Linked DNA regions of Canis lupus familiaris. The protein of the gene in region 1 interacts with the protein of each later gene in a pairwise test. Links are inferred from orthologs where the notes say so. Each region holds a gene or a part of one and is shown on either strand. Other genes may lie near its edges.

What was found. The genes of interacting proteins can lie anywhere in the genome.
Region 2: the proteins of NMT2 (region 1) and ACBD6 interact in binary tests that used the Homo sapiens proteins (3 or more experiments, as listed by UniProt). The link is inferred for Canis lupus familiaris from reciprocal best matches to the Homo sapiens genes NMT2 and ACBD6.

Annotation. Positions count from the first base shown.
Region 1 is NC_049223.1:20,545,498-20,552,298, reverse strand, and holds part of NMT2 (glycylpeptide N-tetradecanoyltransferase 2), read right to left. Parts: intron 6,161-6,801; exon of another isoform or gene 6,084-6,160; coding exon of another isoform or gene 6,030-6,083; intron 4,013-6,029; coding exon 3,868-4,012; intron 808-3,867; coding exon 689-807; intron 593-688; coding exon 501-592; intron 329-500; coding exon 212-328; intron 1-211.
Region 2 is NC_049228.1:13,908,971-13,916,514, reverse strand, and holds the start of ACBD6 (acyl-CoA-binding domain-containing protein 6), read left to right. Parts: upstream 1-3,596; 5' UTR 3,597-3,921; coding exon 3,922-4,143; intron 4,144-7,544. UniProt on the Homo sapiens protein: Binds long-chain acyl-coenzyme A molecules with a strong preference for unsaturated C18:1-CoA, lower affinity for unsaturated C20:4-CoA, and very weak affinity for saturated C16:0-CoA. Does not bind fatty acids. Plays a role in protein N-myristoylation.

The DNA.
Region 1 (6,801 bases):
ATTTTTAAAAATTAAATCAACCTTATTTTTTAGAGCAGTTTTAGATTTAGTAAAACAAAGCAGAAATGAGAGTTCCCTTAGACCCCTCCCTCCCTATACAACCTCCCCCACTATGAACAATCTGAGTAAGTCGCTTTTAAAAGCCCACTGTAACTGCAATTCTTGGAAAAGCAACACAACGAAACTGACACGGACAAGCTTTAACAGGCACCTGTCATAAATCCGAATGTTGGCGGGGATGGCACTTATGAACCCTACTAGCTTCTTGTTCGAAGACACTCTGACCCCACAGTGCCACTGAAGGAGCCAGCCTGGGGGACGCAGCGCCCTGAGGTCAACGCAGGCAAGGAAGACAGGTGCAGGTTAGTGTCCAGGAACCCAGGGAGAGCCCAAGGCACGCCACCCTGCCACTGCCCGCACCCGGGGCGCCCCCTGCCCCGCCCCCCCCCGCCCCCCCCCCCCCCCCCCCCCCCCCCCCCCCGGCGTCCAGCCAGACTCACCACAGCAGGAACTCGGGTGAGTAGTCAAACCGGAACACGCTCTCCTCGTCTTCCACGTAATTCTCATTTAACAGCGTGTACAACTCCTTGAGCTACAAGACCAAGCAAGTGTCCTGTCTACAGTGCTCGCCACCCACTCGGAAGCAATTTGTGCGATGGCAGGTGTCGAACCAAGGAGCGTTACTCACCACGTCGGCGTTGCCCAAGTCTAGGGTGTCCCACATAAAACCCTGGGGCAGGGAATAGGGCTCCTGGCGCACGTGGTCTTTATCGGCTTCAATCGCCCCGTGGGACGTGATGACTTCATCTGCGGAGGGGCAGAGGAGAGAAAGAACGAACATCCAACTATAGTGTATTACGATGGCCAAAGTGGTCCGTTACAGAGAACGACATCATTTCTAGGGCCCTGGGGTTTCACCACTGTTTCAGCTCCTTCTGGAGTGAGACGGGTAGTGGAGAGGAGCTGCCATCTCACCAATTAGAGGGAGAAATCCTTCCTCCTGCAATGACAGGGTGTGTACTACGACATGCCAGGGACAGCCTCAACCCCTAAGTGACAGATCCATGGCGCTGCACCACAGTGGACAGTGTGGGTCTGATGACCGCCTGGAGATGGGCTCTCTTCTTACTCTGCATTTCAAACACCTGGGGGTAGGGGGTGACAAGGTGACCTCTGACCCCACCCCGCAAAACCTAGAACTTCTCTCCACAGGGGCTGCTGGCAGTCCAGCTGAAAACATCAGCATCTCGTGGTTTTCACGAGGGTGCCCTTTCCAGATCCTTCCCCACTGCCTCCCAGTGTGACTGGGATAGAACCCAGGCCCTGCCTGGCCTTGTTCTCCAGGTTCATTCTCACTGGCCCCAGCTCATGGCATCTGGGGGTTCCCTCTTCTCTCAGAGCCCCTCCCCCGCTCTCCATGTGGTGGGCCGCTTGAGGGTTTGCAGACAGAAGCTTACACATCACTTTCCCACAGTATCCTTCCCTGACTTAAGCTTTTTCCTACCTGGAGGAGGCCCTCCCTCCATCCCCGCCTGGCCACTGTCTTCATCCTACTTTCCTACTTTCCCATCGCTGTTCCCCTGGCACACTCCCCAGAGCCTGGCATTTAACAACAGATACTCAACACTGATCTGCTATTACTCAGCCATAAAAAAGAATGAAGTCTTGCCATTGGTGACCACATGGATGGACCTTGAAGACAGTACAGGAAGTGAAATAAGTCAGAGAGAGAAAGATAAATACTGTATGAGTTCACTTACATGTGGAATCTAAAAAAACAAAAATTCTGAATTCCTAGACACAGAGAACAGACTGGCAGTTGGCAGGGGGCAGGGGTGGGAGCGTGAAATGAGTGAAGAGGGTCAAAAGGCAGAAACTTTCAGTTATAAAGCAAGTAAGTTCAGGGGATGCAAACACAGCATGATGATTATAGTTAATAATACTGCATTGCATATTTGAAAGCTGCTAAGACAGGAGATCTTAAAAGTCCTTATTACAAGAAAAAAAAATCTGTAACTAGGTGTGGTGAGGGATGGTTAGTAGACCTCCCGTGGGGGTCATTTGACAATGTACACAAATGTGGTATCATTCTGTTTGACCCCTGAAGCTAATATGTTGCTAAACGACAATGACACCCCAAAGGATAAATAAACAGAACCAGGAGGAAAAAAGGAACAGGTATCTGCTGAATAAATGACCTTCAGGTACAGGTTCTTGGTGGAAGCCACAAGGTCTGCAACAGCTCCGAGGGGTTTCGTTTTCTCTTTCTTTCTTCCCCCTGACTTTGTCACTTCCCCTGAAGCAGAAGTTCACTGCCCCTCCACCAGCTCGCTGGTGAGCCAGATTCTTAGCTGTTCCCTTGGAGTTCCTTTCAGGAGATCCCCTCAGAGCCTGGCTACCCACCGGACATTGGGGACAACAGTGGGGGTGGGGTGGGGGTGGGGGGCTGCCTCTGCTGCCACCAACCTTGATGCTGCCTTAACTGAGATGCAAACCAGGTGTTCCCCCTGGAACTAGGGGAATCCCACAGGGATTTAGGGAGGGGGCGCCAAAATGTGACGCATGCCCCCTATCTTCCCAAAGACATGTGTTGGTGCCAGCCGGGCTTTCCTGCCCCAGGGGCAGTGACCTAAAAGCCACCAGCAGCTTGCCAAGCATGTGCAGCTAAACCTAATACATCGGATCAATCAACCCTACATCCCTTTAGCTCACTCAATTCAACAGCATTTTAAACCCTGTAAATTCATGCTGGAGTCTCCCTCCACTACCGAACACACGTATTTCTAGAGCCTGAAAGAAGAGACAAGTGAGGATAAGTGTTTTCCTCTATCTTTCACACTCCTAAGCCCGTGTTTTTTGAAGATGCGTGGGGTGGACATGGCTGGGTGAGGCCTGGTAACTTTGAAAAGTTTGAAAACCATCATTTGAGGGCACAGACAAGGATCGTTTCCTGATTTTTATGTGATAAAACTGATAATTTGTACATGGCTGGACTATTATTACAAGGTCTGGATGACAATCCTTCATCTTACACGTTCTGGAACCCAAACAATCAAGGAGGAAGAACAGCCAGACAGAGAAATAATTATCATATATCTTCATATGAGGATAACAGAAAGCAGCAGATTTTAGCTTTTAATACAGTTATAAACATTTTAGTGCATTTACGGCATCATTTTTTATTGCAACAAGGGAAGAGTTAAATGATGCTTACGGAAACTTATGAGGCAAGAGTCTGAGTGGAACGTGAGGGACCAGGCCAAGTGCGAAGGGGAGAGGGGAGAGGCCTGATGCCCAGACATCCCTGCACAGAGGAGCCCCCAGGGTGCTCCCAAGGGGCCCCCAAGGTCCCTACTGAACCGCAGCTGTTCTCGAGCTGCTAGGAATTAACACCAGCAGTGAGCCTGCAGAATCCTATTGTTAAGCTGCGCCAAAATTTTCCATTTCAATAAGATTTAGCAGGGCAAATTTCCTGTATCTTTGAAATAAATCAGATGTGAGACTGCTATAAATTTATGCACAGGAAAAACAATTCTATGAAGCTCAGGACCAAGAAAGGTTCTGAGACTCTGTCTTTTATATATATTTTTAATACAATAATGTTTCAAGAGGGAGAAACTGGATTTTTTTAATAGAAAGAGGAATGAAACTCTAAAGTTGTTTCTACCGAAAGCCAATGTCACTACCCAATATTTATATATTTTTTTCCAATATTTATATTTTAAGAAGAAAAACAGGACTTTTGTGTACATTGCTAATCTGCGGTATAAAACAAATTATGTAAGTTAAGTTTCTTTTGTGTTTTTTGTTTGTTTGTTGCTAACCCAGCTGTTTTTTTTGGAGGAGGAGGGAGGCAGAAAAGCTTACTTAATTTGGGTACCGGCTGTGTGTCCCAAAACTGGTATCTGTGTTTGGCAGCCTCATCAATGTTCCTGGCAGGGCCCTGGCATGCGGACAACAGCTCCATTGCTCTCTGGATATCCTGCAACTTCTGCATTGGAATGGTGGGATTCTACAACAGCAAAGACACACAGACACGAAAATGAGGAAGCTGCCACCACTCCCAAACCTGGGGCAGATACACGTGCATCCACCTTGGAGACTACAACACTGAAACACCAACAATCTTCCTCTAGCCTGGTCAGGACCTCGGACTCAAGAATGCTAACATAGTAAAACAGAAGCAAACACAGTATGTTAAAGGTAACAACAACTCAGTGGTTTTAATGAGGCTTTGATATAGGTTTTGAGCAATCTGAAGCAAAGCCAACCACCCGGGGCTGCAGGGTCCCACCCATTTGCAGAGGGTCCTCTCCCGCACTAGCCGAGGACTGACATGCATGCATGCATTACTACCAGGTGGCAGCCAGTCAGGCACACCCTTGGTTTCACTGTTGAGGTTAATGCCCTGTAGTAGCAATGTGAGGACAGAGGAAAGAACGAGCTAGAATGGAAATAAGGCAGACGAAGGAAATTTTAGTTCATTAAAAAGAAGAAAGAAAAGAAAAGAAAGAAAAGGAAAGGAAAGGAAAAAAGAAAGAAATGTGAATGAGTGCTGAGCTGAGCTGGGAAGGAAGTTAATCAAGAAAGAAAATCTCTAAGTATGCCTTCCTCCTGGACCACACCCTGCCTCTTCCAGCCCAGATGCTTCTCCAGAGACAAATCTTCCAACTAGAACAAGCAGTTTCTTCCGTTGAGTTTAGATTTTTTGGCAACCACAGCCTGTTTTCCCTACCCTGAGTGTTGGAAATTAACTTTTTTAAGTAAAACATATTCTCAGTCTGGAAAACTGATGATACCTTTCGATTCTCAAGTTCCTTCCTCCAAGCCAATATCCCTCTTATCTCTGCAGATTCTTCAGCTCTTTTTTTCTTTTTCTTTCTTTCTTTTTTTTTTTTTTTTTGGAAAAGTCCCTCAAATGGAAAGTGGGACTACCATACTTGAACTGAGAGAGTAGCACTCAGGGCCGGATTGGAAAATCACAGAGTTTTTTCAGTACACGAAATTATTATTTTAGTATTTTGATGCCATGCAAAGAATGCCCTCCACTGAAGTTCAGAGGTGGTTAACAAGAACTTCAGAGCCCCCCGGTTTTCCTGTATGTCAACATCCCACAGCTATCAAGGAAAGGTATCACCGACCCTGCCGGTTTATTGACAGTAGTTCTGGACTTCTGTTCAACCTTGAATCTGATGTCTGTGGTCTGGAGTCTATCCTTTAACTTGGGAAACTTTACCCATTTGACACAGTACAAAACAGGGCTTATTTCATACAGACCGCCCTGTGTTTGCTCTATCGTTGGGTTTGCTTAGGATCCTTGCCACTAAAATGATTCAAGGATACAAAATGCTGGAGTCTAATCAGAGATGTGTTCATTGTCTTACTGTCTCCATTTATGAGTCTAACAGCATCACCCAGGAGGGTCATAATTTTCTAAGACATTTCTCTTATATTTCCATAGAGGTCTAAGTCATAGAGGTATGGTTTCAGCTACATATATTGACATAACAAAATACTTTCACTGTTCCCATTTATTGTATTTTTAGATTTCTCTTGCTCTGGTCTCCTCTGAACCTCCAACATAAGAGTTACTGAATACCAGCAAAATAAAATTTATATCCATCTGAACCCTTAACAAGGCAATGCATTAGAAGACCTACAACGTAAACAGGAACTCTGAATATAGTGTATTTCAGTTAGTAACACTTGAACATGCACCCATTTATCTTTAAAAAGACAAATCTGAACCTACAATGCTTGCACTGAATTTGTTATGGGACAAACAGCATGTTTTCCTTCCTAATGCTGGAGTTAAATTCTTGATCACAAATATACTAAACTCAAGCTATTCTGCGACTAGCATGAATCGGCATCCTTGTTCCAAAGGAGCCAACTTTGTTCCAAAGGATATCCCAACTCCATGAGTGGTTTCAGAGTGGTTTCAACTCCACCTAATTAGCCTCACCAGACTGACGAGCAGTCTTGACATAAAATGACCATTCATGATAGATTTGTATCTGAACGCTCACTATTTTAAGTGCTTTCTTGAAGTGGATACAAGTAAGCACAGTTTTCAAATCCATGGTGACAAAGCAGCAAAGGAAAATTCAGCTACGATACGTTCTCAAACCTATCCATTCACCTTCCACAGCAGCACCGCCTGGGGAGAAATGAATTAATGTTAGGGAAGGTGAGAAGCGGATCAACCCCATGTTAGCTTCCCGCCACTGAATCCCTACGTCAGGCACACCTCTTTCCCTCAGTGGAATACTAAACTCCAATTGTACTCTTTACCCTTTATTAACTTTTATATTTAATATCTTGGAAAATGTCCAAGTCCTCCACCACTAAGAAGTCTAAAAAATCCAGACAAGTATTATTGGACTCCGGTAGTTGAGTGCAGAACAGAGTGTCTTCTAAACACAAACCACTGTGATCTACAGTGTTATCTAGAGCTAGCATCTAGGGAAGGGAAAGAAGCTCCAGTTTTAAAAAATGCAGTGGAGGGGCGCCAGGGAGGCTCAGTCGGTTAAGCGTCTGCCTTTGGCTCAGGTCACGATCCTGGGGTCCTGGGATCGAGTCCTGTATTGGGCTCCCTGCTCAGTGGATAGCCTGCTTCTCCCTCTGCCTCCTCCCCTTTGCGATTTTCATGCTCTATCTCTCTCCCTCTCTCAAATAAATAAATGAATAAATAAATAATGCACCAGAGAAAGGCCTACATTAAAACAATTCTGATTTACTGTAATTAAAAAAGAAAATTTCTCTACCATAGAACGCTAGCAGTTCCTCCTGCCTTGGCTG
Region 2 (7,544 bases), on another chromosome or scaffold:
GTTTTACAATGACCTTGTCCGAGGTTGGGATTCCATGAGATTATTTCTAATAGGACAATAATATGGCTTAGCCGTGAGTGTCCAGCCAGCTTTGGAATGTCAGGGGCTCTTGTCTTCCTTTTTCATGTGCTATTTTTTAATATTTTTATTGAAATATAATGCACATATAGAAAAGTATAATTTTTTATTTTTTTGAAAAGTATAATTTTAAAAAAGATTTTATTTATTTGAGAGAGAGAGAGTACCAGCAGGAGGAGGGGCAGAGAGAGAGGGAGAAGCAGACTCCCCACTGAGCAGGGAGCCCAACATGGGTTAAAAGCAGACACTTAACCAACTGAGTCACCCTGTTGCCCCTAAAAGTTTTATTTCTTTATTTGAGAGGGAGAGAGAGGGAGATAGAGAAAGCACAACTGGGGTAAGGGGAGAGAAAGCACAACTGGGGTAAGGGGAGAGAGAAGCAGGTTCCCTGCTGAGAGGGAACTCAATTTGGGGCTTAATCCCAGGACCCCGGGAATCATGACCTGAGCTGAAGGCAGATGCTTAACCAACTGAGCCACTCAGGTGTCCCCAAAAGTATAAAAGTGAACTTTCATAAAGTCAACATGCCTGTGTAACCAGTGTTTCACTCAAGACTATGCACTCTGGTGGCTTTAAAATAAAAGATTCATTTATTTATTTGAGAGAGAGATAGAGAGAGCAGCCCAGGTGGCTCAGCGGTTTAGTGCCACCTTCAGCCCAGGGCATGATCCTGGAGACCCAGGCTCAGAGTTTCATGTCAGGCTCCCTGCATGGAGCCTGCTTCTCCCTCTGCCTGTGTCTCTGCCTCTCTCTCTCTCTCTCTGTCTCTCATGAATGGATGGGTAAAATCTTAAAAGAGAGAGAGAGAGAGAGAGAGAGAATATGAGCAGGGGGAGGGGTAGAGGGAGAGGGAAAGAGAAAACCCCAAGCGGACTCCCCACTGAGCTTGGACCTCCACCTTGGGCTTAACAATGGCTGGATCTCAGGATCCTGAGATCATATCCTGAGCTGAAATCAAGAATCAGATGCTTAATTGACTGAGCCACCCAGTACAATTGACTGCGCCCTCCTGGGTTTTAATACCACAGAATAGTTTTGCCTGATTTTGAGCTTTATGTGAATGGAAACATAGGAGTTCTTTTGTATCAGGCTTTCTGGGTTCTATGTTTAAGAGATTCATTCATGTGTTGTAATTGTAACTAATTCATTCTTGCTGCTGAATGGTACTCCATTATGTAAACACACTATATTTATTCTACTGTTGGTGGACTTCTGGGAGTTTCCAGTTTGGGAAAATAGAAATAGAAACAGTGCTGCCATGAATGTTCCTGTACATGCTTTTAGTGAACACATGTATGCATTCTCACCAGATAAAAGTAGAATTGCTGTATACTTCTGTTCATAAGAGAATTCTGCTTGCTTCATTCTCATGTTATCTAAACTGTTGCTGAATACAGAAAAAGAAACTTTTTAAATATTTTTTTTCTAAATATTTTCTACAAGGATACTACTACCCTGATACAAAATTGAGAAAGGATAGGGAAAAAAAAGGAATATTATTGGTTAATGCCCTCTTTAATTAGGGATGTAAAGATACTACCGTCAGCAAACAGAATCCACAGATATGAAAAAAAAGGCAAGACCGGGACCAGAATGGGTTTATTCAGGAAGAGAAGCATCACTTAAAATTAGGAAATCTATTAATGTATTAAAATGTATGTTAACTTATCAATTTCAATTATAAATATAATTCATTAAATTCCTATTAACTTAATAATATTGTTAATATAGTTCATTACAAGAGAAATTTTATTAATAATTCCTTTAAAAGGTTAAAGGAGGGGATCCCTGGGTGGCGCAGCGGTTTGGCGCCTGCCTTTGGCCCAGGGCTTGATCCTGGAGACCCGGGATCGAATCCCACGTCGGGCTCCCGGTGCATGGAGCCTGCTTCTCCCTCTGCCTGTGTCTCTGCCTCTCTCTCTCTATCATAAATAAAAAAAAAAAATCAAAAGGTTAAAGGACAAAAACATATAAACGGCCTAAAAAGCTGTCCATAATATTAAATTCACGTTTCTAGTAAAAATTCTAGAAACAGAGAAATACAAAGGTCCCTGCATCTTCTCTTCATTCTACTTTTCAGGTTCATGGTCTGTAATTACACCATAGACAGACTAACCCCTGCCTAAAACAACGGATGAGTTTGAATTTTTCCTTCTCTATTTATTAGCTGTGCAGCCTTGGGCAAGTTGCTCAACCACTCTGTGATTTCCTCCGTACACAGTGCAAATAACTGTACCTATCATTAGTAGTCGGGATTAAGTCCCTTACACATGAACGGCTTCAGTGAGTCATTATTATCACTGCATTTTAATTACAAGAATTTGTCCATCAGCCATCCCTTGATTGGATCGTGAGCGCCTGGAGAGCAAACAGGGGCAGACTCCAGAACCTCGAGGAAGGCTTGTGGAGTCCTGACGGCAGCTCTCCCAGCGTCTGGCCTTTCCTCCTGCCCTGTCCACCTGTGTCACACGCCCGGCAACCACTCTTTAGAACTCCTTCTTTGCACCAATCTTGATGGTGCTCATTACGCCGTTCTGAGTACCAAATGCACACACAGTGTTTCCGTTTTTGCTTTACAACACTTGGGGCGTAATAACCCCTAAGTACAAGTTGATTGTTATAATCATGTCGCAGGTTTTGTGTAGTTTTGTGTTCAGTTCCTTTAGGGCACAGCGGTCTCGTACTGTTTCACTTCAGCGTCTGCAAAACACGACAGCCGAGGCTCGGTCCCAGGAGCCCGGGGCTAGCGGGGCCCGGCTGGGGGGAAGCGGGGGGCGACCCCGGGCGACCCCGCCCCGCCCCGCCCCGCCCCGAGGAAGGGGAGGACAGCCAACCAGGCGGCTTCCGCGCGGAAAGCCCCGCCTCCCGGGTTTTCACCCGTTATTCAAGTCCGAGCCAAGCTCCCGAGCAACAGATGCGCGCGCAGGGGTCCGAGGCCAGGTTGGGGGCGCCCGGGCCACACGACCCGCCGAGGCGGGCGCAGGCGGAACCTTCGTCCTCGGCTCCGTGTTTCCCGCGACTCCGCTCCTACCGCCACACTAGCACCCGGGGGCCACCGTCCCCGCCCCGAGGGCCTATTCCCGGAACGGTTTCCTGACTCTGAATAGTCATTTTGGTGCAACGACGAACAGACGTCCCAACGGCTGAGGAGAGTCTCTCCGAGCTGCAGCTCCGTAGCGTGGCCCCGCGAGTGCCCGGTAGCCGGACGTGGGCGCACCCCGCGCAGAGCCCGCCGCCGCCGCCGCCGCCGCCGCCGCCGCCGCCGCCGCCGCCGCCGCCGCCGCCGCCGCCGCGCCTCGCCCCGCGCGCGTGCTCGGACACGTGCTCGGACGTGTGCTCGGGCGCGCGCTCGGCGCGCGCGTGCTCGGACACGTGCTCGGACGTGTGCTCGGGGCGCGCGCTCGGGCGCGCGCGTGCTCGGACACGTGCTCAGGCGCGCGCGGGGCTCCGCCCGCCCCGCCCCCGCGCGCACGCGCACGTGGCCCCGCCCCCGCCCCCGCCCCGCCCCCCGCCCTCCCTTCCGGATCTCTCAGCTGCGCCGCCGGGAGACCCCCTCGCCGGTGAGGGGCCCCGGGTCGAGCCCGAGCGCGGTGCCGGCCGGAGGAAGCCGCGGGAGACCGGGTGGGCCGGGCGAGCCGCCGAGAGTAGCGGGGCCTGCCCTGCACGCCCGGAGAGAAGTGGGAGGCGGGCGGAGTTACGGGAGGCCGCGCGAGCGAGTGAGCGTGGGTCCGACTCGAGGTCGGGCTCGGGCCCGAGGCGGGTGGGCCAGGCCCCCCGAGCCGGCGTTGCGCGCGGCCTGGGACGCACGGCGCGGGCGCGGAGGCGCGGGGCGAGCGAGGACGCATGGCCTCGCCATTCCTGACCGCGGGGGCCACCACGGGCGACAGCGGCGGAGAGCTGAGCTCGGGGGACGACTCCGGCGATGTGGAACCCCGCCAGAGCCCCGAGACCGAGGCGTCCGGGAGCCTGGCAGAGCTCTTTGAGCAGGCTGCCGCGCACCTCCAGGGCCTGGTTCAGGTGGCCAGCCGGGAGCAGCTCTTGTACCTGTATGCCAGGTACAAGCAGGTAAGGTCCCGGGAAGGGGGTGGGTGCGGGAGAGCGGCAGGAGAGGCCTTCTCTGTCCCCCAGAATCTGATCGTACAGGTGCTTGGGTTGATGGCTAGGTGGGATGAAGTTTGCGTGTGTGTGGGGGCGCGTGTGTGTGGTCATCTCCTAAAGCATTAGCATCATTCTGAATGTGGATAGGGCCTGTCCGCTGTCCTGGGAGACAGAGGTGGTTGGACACCGAATGGCAGTTTCCCGTGTCTTCTCTGACTTGTACAGTGACCTTGCACTCGTGCTTTTACCAGCTTCAGAACCTTTGTAAAATGAGGATGATGAAATAAGGTTTGTCATTCACTCTTGCCAAAGGGTCATATGGAGGTAATTATGGAAGTAACATGGTCCTATGGAAGTAATGTTAAAAAAGAAATTGTGAGATCCAGGAGAATTATGTGATCGTAATAAAAGGGTGATGCAAAATAAACCATTACTAGTTTTATTATTGTGATTTTTAAAATCCTAGTTATATTAGACTTGTGTTTTGGCTTAATGGGCAGGAATTCTGACTGTTAGATACAATTATAAACATTTTAAAGCTAGTAAACGCCAGGTGAAACAATCCCCTTCCTTTGGGGGATAGGAAACGGAAGCCCGAAGAGAGTAGATAACCTGTCCAGGGTCTTAGGGACAGATGAGTGGGAACTGGAACTAGATTGTAGCTCCTGACTCTGACTAAGGCTCTGAGCTTTATCTGGGAATAATAATCCTAATGTCATGTAAGACATGTTTAATTTAGCATTCAAAGAGTCACAGGTACCAGAAGGAAAAATGATTGCTTTATCATAATCAACCAGTAGTTGTATAACATCTTTTATGTGCAAAACACTTGGGTGTTAGCCTACAGGGAGTGCAAAGAAGAAAAAGCATGGTGGTATTTTCCTTCAAGAGACTTGGAAAGTTACATGAGGAATCTAGATTTAAACACATGAAAATTGCTAAGAAGAGTTAGATAACATTTTAGGAAAACTCCAGTTCTTTGGAACACTGGAAGCAATGAGCACATTTTATTTCACTAAAAAAATTTAGGGATGCCTGGGTGGCCCAGAGGTTGAGCGTCTTGCCTTTGGCTCAGGGGGGATCAAGTCCCACATCGGGCTCCCTGCATGGAGCCTGCTTCTCCTTCTGCCTATGTCTCTTCCTCTCTCTCTGTGTCTTTCATGAATTAATAAATAAAATCTTAAAAAAAATTTTTTTTACCGTTGTTTTACTTCTTGATATCTATTCCCTTATGCATTCTTTTAAGAAAAAAAAAATAGTTTTAAGACCCCTCTGTAGGGGATCCCTGGGTGGCTCAGCGGTTTAGTACCTGCCTTTGGCCCAGGGCGTGATCCTGGAGTCCCGGGATCGAGTCCTGCATCGAGCTCCTTGCATGGAGCTTGCTTCTTCCTCTGCCTCCATCTCTGCCTCTCTCTCTCTCTGTGTGTGTGTGTGTGTGTGTGTTTCTCATGAATAAATAAAATCTTAAAAAAAAAAAAGACCCCTCTGTATTCTTCAACTGAATATACTGAATAGTGATGAACTATCTTTTGAGGACTGGTGAATTTGAATTATGAATACCAGTTAAAGTGACTTGAGAGACATAGCTGTAGATACATACGGTATAAATTACAGTGTTGAATGAAAATTGCCCTTGAATTGGCTTTGGAATTTCTTTCTTGCAGAAGTTCTGGATTATCTTTTTCTCTTTGGTTATTTACCTTGTCGCAATAACATCAAAATGAGACTTTCAGTTATTTAACAAGAGTTTATTGAACATTCTGCTAGGACCTTTAACATGTCTGACTGCTAATTCTTCGGGCAGCATAAAACTGTTTTTCTCCAAATTCCCTAGAGAACATTCTTTCTCTTTCTAGGACATAACTTTATTACTGATATTAGTGTCATCATTATTAGTATCTGATTTCTGGATTATCAGTGAACTATAGTCATCTGTTAACTGGTAACCATTCTGTCTCAAGTATACTCACTTAATCCTGGAAGTGGTGTGTCCCTCACCCTTTCAAGAACTCCATGTTAAGGTGTTTAGAGATATTCTGTATCTGGAAATAAAATTCTTCATTATTAGAAAATAGGATTATGCTTACTTAGATATGACATTGGGATGCAATTTTCATCCATTCTTCTACATTTTTTTTCTTTTTTTTTTTTGAGCGGGAGAAAGAATTGTAAGCAGGCTCCATGCCCAGTGCAGAGCCTGATGCAGGGCTCCATGCCATGACCCCAAGATCATGACCTCAGCTAAAAATCAGGAGTCAGATACTTAACTGACTGAGCACCCAGGTGCCCCTAAATATATTTTTTAAAGGTTTTATTTATTTATTCATGAGAGACACACAGAGAGAGGGTGAGACACCGGCAGAGGGAGAAGCAGGCCGCATGCAGGGAGCCCGACTTGGGACTCCATCCCAGGTCTCCAGGATCATGCCCAGGGCTGACGGTGGCACTAAACCACTGAGCCACCAGGGCTGCCCTAATTTTTTTTTTTTTTTAACAGAATTCTGAGATAGTGTTAAAAATCTTTGATTTTTTTGATTAGCATCTTTGATAAAATAATAAAATTGAAATGCCAATATAATTCTTGCATGGTGGATCAGAATCTCTCATGAAACAATTATGTTTTGTATTTGGAGTAGCACTGTATTTTGGAGGCCAAATGAAATAGTTGTCCCCAGGAGGATGATAAAAATAAGCTGAGCTGTGAGCCTTCTTTTCTTAGGCAGAGCTCCAAACTTACCTAACATAATAGCTCTTTTAGCCTCACATAAGCCTGTGGCTTCAAAATCATCTTTTAGTGAAGTTTCAAATAGATCACACCAATGAACAGTCTTTTGGTACTCCACATTATCCTACACTTTCCCATCAAAAGATCATTAATTGACTCCTGTGAAAACTCCAGGACAATGAAAATTACAAATCCCTGTTAGCTTCATTTTACAGGACCCTTCAGCACTAGCACAGTGAAGATTCTCAGCATGTTCTACTTTAACCTGCTCACACATAATTCACTGGCATTTGCCATTAGCCCCCTTTGTTAAAATATTCTGTTTTAAGGGCACTGGATATATCCTGTATGTATCAGAACATACTGTTCTGTTAAGGTGGCACATTTTGTAACTGCTTTATAGCTTATGATTCATTATTAATGATTTGGAAACTGTTTCTCATCATGTCCTAAAACCCTGTAGTTTTATTTATCCAGTCTTTTCTTTTTTTTTTTTAATTTATTTTTTATTGGTGTTCAATTTACTAACATACAGAATAACCCCCAGGGCCCGTCACCCATTCACTCCCACCCCCTGCCCTCCTTCTACCACCCCTAGTTCGTTTCCCAGAGTTAGCAGTCTTTACGTTCTGTCTCCCTTTCT